Linked DNA regions of Sus scrofa. The protein of the gene in region 1 interacts with the protein of each later gene in a biochemical or structural test. Links are inferred from orthologs where the notes say so. Each region holds a gene or a part of one and is shown in the gene's direction. Other genes may lie near its edges.

Evidence for each region.
Region 2: the proteins of GRB2 (region 1) and ABL1 form a complex in vitro, tested with the Homo sapiens proteins (3 studies listed by BioGRID). The link is inferred for Sus scrofa from reciprocal best matches to the Homo sapiens genes GRB2 and ABL1.

The regions. Positions count from the first base shown.
Region 1 is NC_010454.4:6,003,039-6,007,186, forward strand, and holds part of GRB2 (growth factor receptor-bound protein 2), read left to right. Parts: intron 1-1,528; coding exon 1,529-1,651; intron 1,652-4,148. UniProt on the Homo sapiens protein: Non-enzymatic adapter protein that plays a pivotal role in precisely regulated signaling cascades from cell surface receptors to cellular responses, including signaling transduction and gene expression.
Region 2 is NC_010443.5:270,900,690-270,904,837, forward strand, and holds part of ABL1 (tyrosine-protein kinase ABL1), read left to right. Parts: intron 1-2,354; coding exon 2,355-4,060; 3' UTR 4,061-4,148. UniProt on the Homo sapiens protein: Non-receptor tyrosine-protein kinase that plays a role in many key processes linked to cell growth and survival such as cytoskeleton remodeling in response to extracellular stimuli, cell motility and adhesion, receptor endocytosis, autophagy, DNA damage response and apoptosis.

The DNA.
Region 1 (4,148 bases):
TCATTACTTTTACCTTAAAAAGGGGAAACAGAAAGGAAAATGCCTATCTGGTGGGAAAATGGGGGGGGGGGGGGGCAGGAGGAAAGAATGTGGCTCCCAGCCAGATGCCTGCTGCGCGGGGGCCTCGTAAACCAGTAAACCAAGCGCCCAGGGACCAAGACAGTGCTCACGCGTCCCCGTGCTGTGAGCTGTCCTTGCCCAGTCGGAGGGCATCCTGCCGTGCTAATCCGCAATTTCTCTGTGGGCACTGGAGGCCTTCGCCTCGAGTTATGTGTCAGGGCAGGAAGGCAGGTCGGTTGTACCAGCTCCTCCGCGCAGCTCGGCGTTATAGCACCCCAAGTGCGAAAGACACAAGGATGCAGATTTTAGGGCTGTTTTAGGTTATTGATGGCAACTTCTGACTGTACCCTTCCTCGCAGCTCACGTCCTTCTGTTGGGATTTTAGTATAGTGTATTATTTCAGAGGCATCTTGTGGTGCAGTTGCTTATAAGTAAGATGGATGTGTGGTAGGTTTAGAACCTTAGTTGATGCTTTGGTGCCTTTGCTTTTCTGGTTTGCGGATACACTGCCTGTTAGCTGCCCCGTAAGGAGTCTGATGAGGCCCATAGGTCTTTATTCGCTTATAAGTAGCGTTGTTGCTTTTTTAAAGTATTAGCTCGGTAAAGACAGCTTGGCACAGAGCACTGAGTTTCCAGTCATCTCTCCCAGTTAGTTAGGGCTTCCCTGTGGAAAGGGAGGTGGCTGTGACGAGATTGCTGCTCCTCTTCCTCCTGGTCGGCCCCCGGGGCTCCCACACTTTCCCTGAGTTCCCCTGCTTTCTCTCGTGACCAAAGTGAATGAGCACTGGGAGCAGAAGAATCTATAACTTGCTCCAAATGAAAATTCGAAATTTGCAACTAGCTGCCTCTGCACAGGGTGAATTATGGCATATTCCCGACGGCTCCTAAAAGCCAAACCCTGAGCGGTGACGGCAGAGAGAGGCCTGAGAGGAATGCAAACCGCCGCCACCACCTGGGGCTCTTCACCGCCAGGACCTTTCCCCTTTGTGCTGTTACAAGAAGTAGCCCTGCCTGCAGCTTCTGGGCCTTCCAGCTTCCCTGTCCCTGTCTCTCCATCCCATGTGGCAAGGCTGCCGCCTTATCAAATGGCTGCAGGAAGGGCCCATCTCCCCCTCTGTGGTTCATCCTGTGCTTAAGTCAGTAGGCCTGGGCTTTCCCCGCTGCCTTGCTGATGAGTCAGGAGGGGCCCCAGTGGGCTTTGGCCCAGGAGGCCCATGTTCAGGTGTCTTTCTCTGTAGAAAGAGTGGCCCACGATGGTGTCTTCTGAGTCACTCTGGAGAGTGGGGAAGCGAGAAGGCTTTGAAGGGATCTGGTCCCTCTCTCAAGGCGTGGTCGGGACGGGCGGGACTGGCAGGGGAGAGGGGCCCCTCCTTTGGCGAGGAGTTCTCGGTTCCTCACATTTCGGAGGCTGGATATCCCGTTTCTTTGTGGGGAAGCAGATGTTGACTGGTTTGCCTTCCTTCCTTAGGTGGTTTTTTGGCAAAATCCCCAGAGCCAAGGCAGAAGAAATGCTTAGCAAACAGCGGCACGATGGGGCCTTTCTCATCCGTGAGAGCGAGAGCGCTCCTGGGGATTTCTCCCTCTCTGTCAAGTAAGTACTTCCTGCTCTGGTCGCCTGGAAGCCTGTCTCCAGCTGATGGCAGTTGTGAAGCCAGAGGCCAGGCGTCTGACTACATGCACCAAAGGTGGCACACTGGTTAAGGTTTAGCTTTGGCAGTATTTTACACATCAGAAAAGCTTACATTAAAATCCTCATTTCTGGTTCCTCTAAAGAATCTAGCAGCTCCAGCAATACTGGGTTTAGGACTCCCAAGAGGGAAGTCTTCAGTGGCTGAGCAGCGGCAGCACTTGAGAGAGCGCACACTTCCCTCTTTTCCCCAGTCCCCACCACTCTGCAATGCTCTCCACATACACCACTCTTTCCTCCTCCGAACATCCTGCCCTTTCTGGGCTTCCTGCAGCTCTGTAAGTGATCAGCTCCCTTGTGCCCCTTTACCAGGTGTCTAGCTAAATCTGCCAGCATCATCCTAGGCCTCCCATTGACTTCAAACACAAGGGTTTCTTTCCCCGGTGGGGAATGTAACGTTGGCAGGGAGCTGTGTGCTCAGAATGGGGGAGTACCGGGAGTTTTACCATCTTGGGAATCACAGAGAATACAAATTGGAACTTTGACAACACTAAACTAATCACTCCCCATCCGTGACAAAGATTTCAAAGTTGTCATTTCCATACATTTTGATTCAGTCCATTTCTAGTTAATATCACAAGAAACCCTGACCTAGGAATCTTACAAATCACTTCATTGTTTATATGGCGGAGGTGATTAGATTAAAACTCAGCTCGCTTTAGTATGGATTTACATTATTTTTAAATGGAGGCTGTAAAATATTTTATTTTCCATTTACAGATGATATAAAGATTTTTCAGTCTCAAAAATAAACTGGGTGCGTTCCCGTCATGGCTCATCAGTAACAAACCTGACTAGTATCCATGAAGACATGGGTTTGATCCTTGGCCTCATTCAGTGGGTTAAGGATCCAGCATTACTGTGGCTGTGGTGTAGGCCAGCAGCTGTAGCTCCAGTTTGACCTCTAGCCTGGGAACTTCGATATGCTGCAGGTGCAGCCCTAAAAAGCAAAAAAAAAAAAAAAAATCAACTGAATACCTTGTTTCATTTTGGGACCAAATGAGTGGTTAAAGTGTAGGGGTTTTTTAATGTAGATTTAAGTTTAAATTTTTTGTATCCTTTTTCTCAGTGAAGTTGTGGGAGGTGGTTTCAGGTGATATTTGCAGTATCTTACAGATAATGTTTCCAGTATAGCTAGGTCTAGTCCCAACATGAAAAAAATCAAGCTGGATCTGATTTTCAGTTTTCCTCTTTTAACAGTGGCTTTTTTTTTTTTTAAGTAGACTTTGGTTTTTTAGAGCAGGTTTAAGTTCACAGAAAAATCAACTGGAAGGTACAGAGATTTCCCGAGTACCCCGACTCCCACTCACATGCATAGAAACAGTGGCTTTTTGATGTGCTTGATTAAACACATGCAAATGAGGATCTGGTGGGTGAAGAGCACCTTGAGGTGGAAAAGGCTTTATGCTTCTCATTAACTCTGGTTTCTTCGTCGGTTTTCCTTACACTTTATACTGACCTGAGTATAAATCCGGCCGAGGAAGACCAAGAATACAAGCCATTAACTGGTGATTGAATGATGGCCCCAAACCCTGAGGCAGCTGGTGTTCAGTTGTCTGATGACTAGTCCCTGCCCATGCCCTGCGGTGCCCACTGGGCAGCTCCCAGACCATGTTCCATTTTATCACGTAAAACCTTTAAAGAGTTTGTTTTAGAAATTCGAAGCAGATGTCCTAACCACCTTCCACACATAAGCATTCTTCTAGAGGAGCTTCGGGAATCCAGTCTCTCGTTTCAAGGCGTTGTGGGTCCGTGATGGAAAAACTTCGGGAGTTAACAGCTCACCGTCAGGGACCCTGTACCCCTTTCAGGAACCACCTCTGTTACACGGTGGGAGTGCCCTTCCACGGGCCAGAAGTGCCATTTGAATGCCCTTCTTCCTCATACGGCTTTTATCCTCGTCCATCTTTTTTCTCTTGAAATAGCAGTGCTGTTTCTAAGCGCTTCCTACTCGTGGCTTCCTTAAAGCTCAGTGCTGCCACCTGCTGGGTTGTTTTTAAGACGCGTTAATGCCTTAAAACCAATGGCAGAAGAGAGTCCTCCGCTCGTTTTGCAGATGGTTGTAGAGTGCCTTGTGAGGGACGGGCAGCGCCTTGGTGGAGCTGATGTGCTGGGCCGACAGCACGGTGTCTGTGGGCCGGCCCACTCAGCCAGGCTCGGGCTGGTTTTCTGGGCCAGCGTGAAAGGTGGCATTTACCGCTTTACCAGGTGGTAGAGGGGAGGGGGTAGGAGGTGCCTGGGCCTTTTTAGTGTCCCAGCATGTTTTGTTCTGAGATCTTCTCCCCACAAGTAGACCTAAAATCCTTGAGCAGAAAACAGGACTTTTCGGAGTTCCTGTCGTGGCTCAGTGGAAACAAATCTGACTAGCATCCATGAGGACACAGGTTCGATCCCTGGCCTC
Region 2 (4,148 bases), on another chromosome or scaffold:
GTCCTCTCGTCTGAGAGGAGGCTCCTTCTGGGGCTGCTCCCTAGACCCACGGCGAGGGCGTGGGAGCCGTTCGGGAGGGTCCTAGGATGTTACCAGGAACAGCATTCGAAAGTGTGGGTCCGATGCTTCCTTTGCGCCAGGCGTGACGCTGGGTTAGGCCGCTCCGATTCAGCCCCGACAGGAAAGGAAATTGGGAGGTCTGGGTTCCCGTCAGGCCAATGAATGGACACGCCCGAGGTGGACCAGGCGCCTGGGTGGGTAGCAGCTCCTTGGGGATGCTCTGACGGACCACACCCGGGGGAAGGGGAAGGGACAGGGCAGGGCTGTGGGGTGTCTAGCCACAGCAGAGTCTGTAGACCCCCATGATGCCCAGCTTTGTCATCATGTACCTCTGTTAATGTTTTAAAGTTGAGGGAATTGGGAGTTCCCGTCGTGGCGCAGTGGTTAACGAATCCGACTAGGAACCATGAGGTTGCGGGTTCGGTCCCTGCCCTTGCTCAGTGGGTTAAGGATCCGGCGTTGCCGTGAGCTGTGGTGTAGGTTGCAGACGCGGCTCGGATCCCGCGTTGCTGTGGCTCTGGCGTAGGCCGGTGGCTACAGCTCCGATTCGACCCCTAGCCTGGGAACCTCCATATGCCGCGGGAGCGGCCCAAGAAATAGCAAAAAAAAAAGACAAAAAATAAAAAAATAAAAAAAAATAAAGTTGAGGGAATTGTCCTGTGGCACAGCAGGTGAAGGATCTAACTTTGTCATGGCTGCAGCGGCTCAGGTTGCTGCCGTGGTACAGGTTCGATCCTTGGCCCAGGAACTTCCACATGCCACAGGCAAAGCCAAAAAATTCCTTGAGTTCCTGCTGTGGTGCAGTGGGTTAAAAATCCAACTGCAGTGGCTCAGGCTGCTACAGAGGTGCAGGTTCGATCCCTAGCCTGGCACAGTGGGTCAAAGGATCCAGTGTTGCCACAGCTGAGGCATAGGTGGCATCTGTGGCATGGATTTAGTCCCTGGTCCAGGAACTTCCATAAGCCACCTGTGTGTCCATAGGAAAAGAAAGAGGAACAGCTAAACTGTAGTGCTTACTTTGCACACCCCTGGACCATCTTGCGCCCCCACTCTGATAGCATGATGGCACGTCAGCTATCCCGCATCTGCTCCTCTGGTCCTTCTTTTTTCTCTTTTTTTTCCCATGAAGTTTTATTGAAGCCCAGGTGATGGACAGCGCTGCAGCAGCTTCAGCTGTGATTCAACCATACACATGCACACATCCATTCTCTGTCACATCTTTTCCCATATACCTGACCACCCCCTTCATCTCTGCTCGTCGTGGTTTCAGGTAGCGGAGGGGAGGAGAGGCTACTGTGAAAACTAGCGGCTTATTAAAAGCCCGGTGATAAGCAGCCGTGTTCGTTTTGCCCGCCGGTATTCATTCATCTGAGGAGTATTTTGGTGTGTGGTATCTCGGTGCACCCGGAGTGCCCATTAGCTGTTGAGCACGGAGGTGGGCTGTGCGTGATTCATTAGAACTTCGCTGTCTTCGCCCCCTTCCGCTGGGTGAAGGTTCGGGGCGCTCCTCAGCCTTCCCTGATTCACAGGTCCTGTGTGCTGCCTGGTATGCTGACAAATGCCCCTTGTCCCTCTGCTTCGAGTTACAGGATGCTGACAGCAGGCCCTAGCAGCTGCCCTCTGAGAGAGTTCTGTCATTCACTCACGGGGAGCTTGGCAACACCAGAAAGATTTCTTAGGAGCTGTTATTCACATTTAAAGAATGTCCATTTAAAAATGTTTAAAGGTCACCCTTCTTGTTTCCCAAGCGTAATAGCCCATTGTCCCCGCGCCCTGTGGTAGGTGGCCCGTCCCTCCTGATCTTACCTCGTGGGAGCCTCAGCCGGCTGACGGGTCTGAGAGGCACAGGTTCTGACCCTGCGCTCGGCCTGGTCCTGCCTTTTACTCACCAGACAGTGGGGTTGAGGGGACTCTGCTTCTTTAAAGGACGGGGAGTGTCCCAGCTTTTTGGTCTGCTGTCTTCAAGGGGAGGGACCTGAGCTTTTCCTAACAGCACTACTCACCACGGGGGCTGCAGTTAGAAATTTCGTGCCAAGAGCTGTGGTGAAGGCTCCACGTTCATTGCGGCGTTACTTTCTGGGGACAGCGTCTGGGTAGGCCTCACGGTCCCCCGCTTTACAGATGAGAAAGTGAGGGTGAGCACAGAGAAGCCGCCGGCCCGGGTGAGAGCCCGTCAGAGCCGGTGCCCAGCCCGCTGCTCTGTAGGAACGGGCCGGCCGGCCGGCCCGCGAGGTTCCCCGCTCGCTCCGCAGCCTCTGGCCTGGAGCCGTTCAACTCTCCCCGGTGTGTTTCAGATCCTCCGGACCACGAGCCGGCCGTGTCTCCGCTGCTGCCTCGAAAAGAGCGCGGCCCTCAGGACGGCGGCCTCAACGAAGACGAGCGCCTGCTCCCCAAAGACAAGAAGACCAACTTGTTCAGCGCCTTGATCAAGAAGAAGAAGAAGACCGCCCCGACCCCTCCCAAACGCAGCAGCTCCTTCCGGGAGATGGACGGCCAGCCCGAGCGCAGAGGGGCCGTCGAGGACGAGGGCCGGGAAGCCAGCAACGGGGCGCTCGCGCTCGCACCCTCGGATGCGGCCGAGCCAGCCAAGTCCCCAAAGCCCAGCGGCGGGGCCGGCGTGCCCAACGGAGCCTTCCGGGAGTCCGGGGGCGCCGGCTTCCGGTCCCCCCACCTGTGGAAGAAGTCCAGCACCCTGACCAGCAGCCGGTTAGCAGCCAGCGAGGAGGAGAGCGGCGGCAGCTCCAGCAAGCGCTTCCTGAGGTCCTGCTCTGCCTCCTGCGTGCCCCACGGGGCCAAGGACACAGAGTGGCGGTCGGTCACGCTGCCTCGGGACCTGCAGTCCACGGGAAGACAGTTTGACTCGTCCACATTTGGGGGGCACAAAAGTGAGAAGCCAGCTCTGCCGCGGAAGCGGGCCAGTGAGAACAGGTCCGACCAGGTGACCAGAGGCACCGTCACCCCGCCACCCCGGCTGGCGAAGAAGACCGAGGAAGAAGCTGACGAGGTTTTCAGAGACACAGCCGAGTCCAGCCCGGGCTCCAGCCCTCCCACCCTGACTCCGAAACTCCTCCGTAGGCAGGTTCCATCTTCCTCCAGCCTTCCCCACAAGGAAGACGCCGGAAAGTGCAGTGCCTTGGGGGCACCTGCTGAGCCGGGGCCCCCCACCAGCAGGGCCGGGCCAGGTGCCTCTGGAGGGCCCAGCAAGGCCCCTGGCGAGGAGTCCAGAGTGAGGAGGCACAAGCCCGCCTCCGAGTCCCCAGGGAGGGACAAGGGAAAGCTGTCCAAACTCAAGCCTGCCCCGCCGCCCCCACCGCCCGCCTCTGTTGGGAAGGTGGGGAAGTCCTCTCAGAGCCCGAGCCAGGAGGCAGCCGGGGAGGTAGGCCCCAGTGGGAAGGCGAAGCCTGCGGCTCTGGCTGTGGATGCCGTGAACAGTGACGCTGCCAAACCCAGCCAGCTGGGAGACGGTGTCAAAAAGCCTGTGCTCCCGTCCGTGCCAAAGCCACAGTCGTCCACCAAGCCAGCCGGGACCCCAACCAGCCCAGCCTCTGCTCCCTGCACGCTGCCGACAGCATCCTCTGCCCTGGCGGGGGACCAGCCGTCCTCCACCGCCTTCATCCCTCTCATATCGACCCGCGTGTCTCTTCGGAAAACCCGCCAGCCTCCGGAGCGGATTGCCAGCGGCGCCATCACCAAGGGCATGGTACTGGACGGCACCGAGGCCCTGTGCCTGGCCGTCTCCAGGAACTCTGAGCAGATGGCCAGCCACAGCGCCGTGCTCGAAGCCGGCAAGAACCTCTACACGTTCTGCGTGAGCTACGTGGACTCCATCCAGCAGATGAGGAACAAGTTCGCCTTTCGCGAGGCCATCAACAAACTGGAGAACAGTCTTCGCGAGCTTCAGATCTGCCCGGCGACAGCAGGGAGTGGCCCAGCGGCCACCCAGGACTTCAGCAAGCTCCTCAGCTCCGTGAAGGAGATCAGTGACATCGTGCAGAGGTAGCAGAAGCTGGGCGTCCAGAGTGTGTGAGGGCTCCCCGTGCCCTTGACGGTGGCTGACAGAGGACCAGCAAGCGGGGACCTTGGCCCGG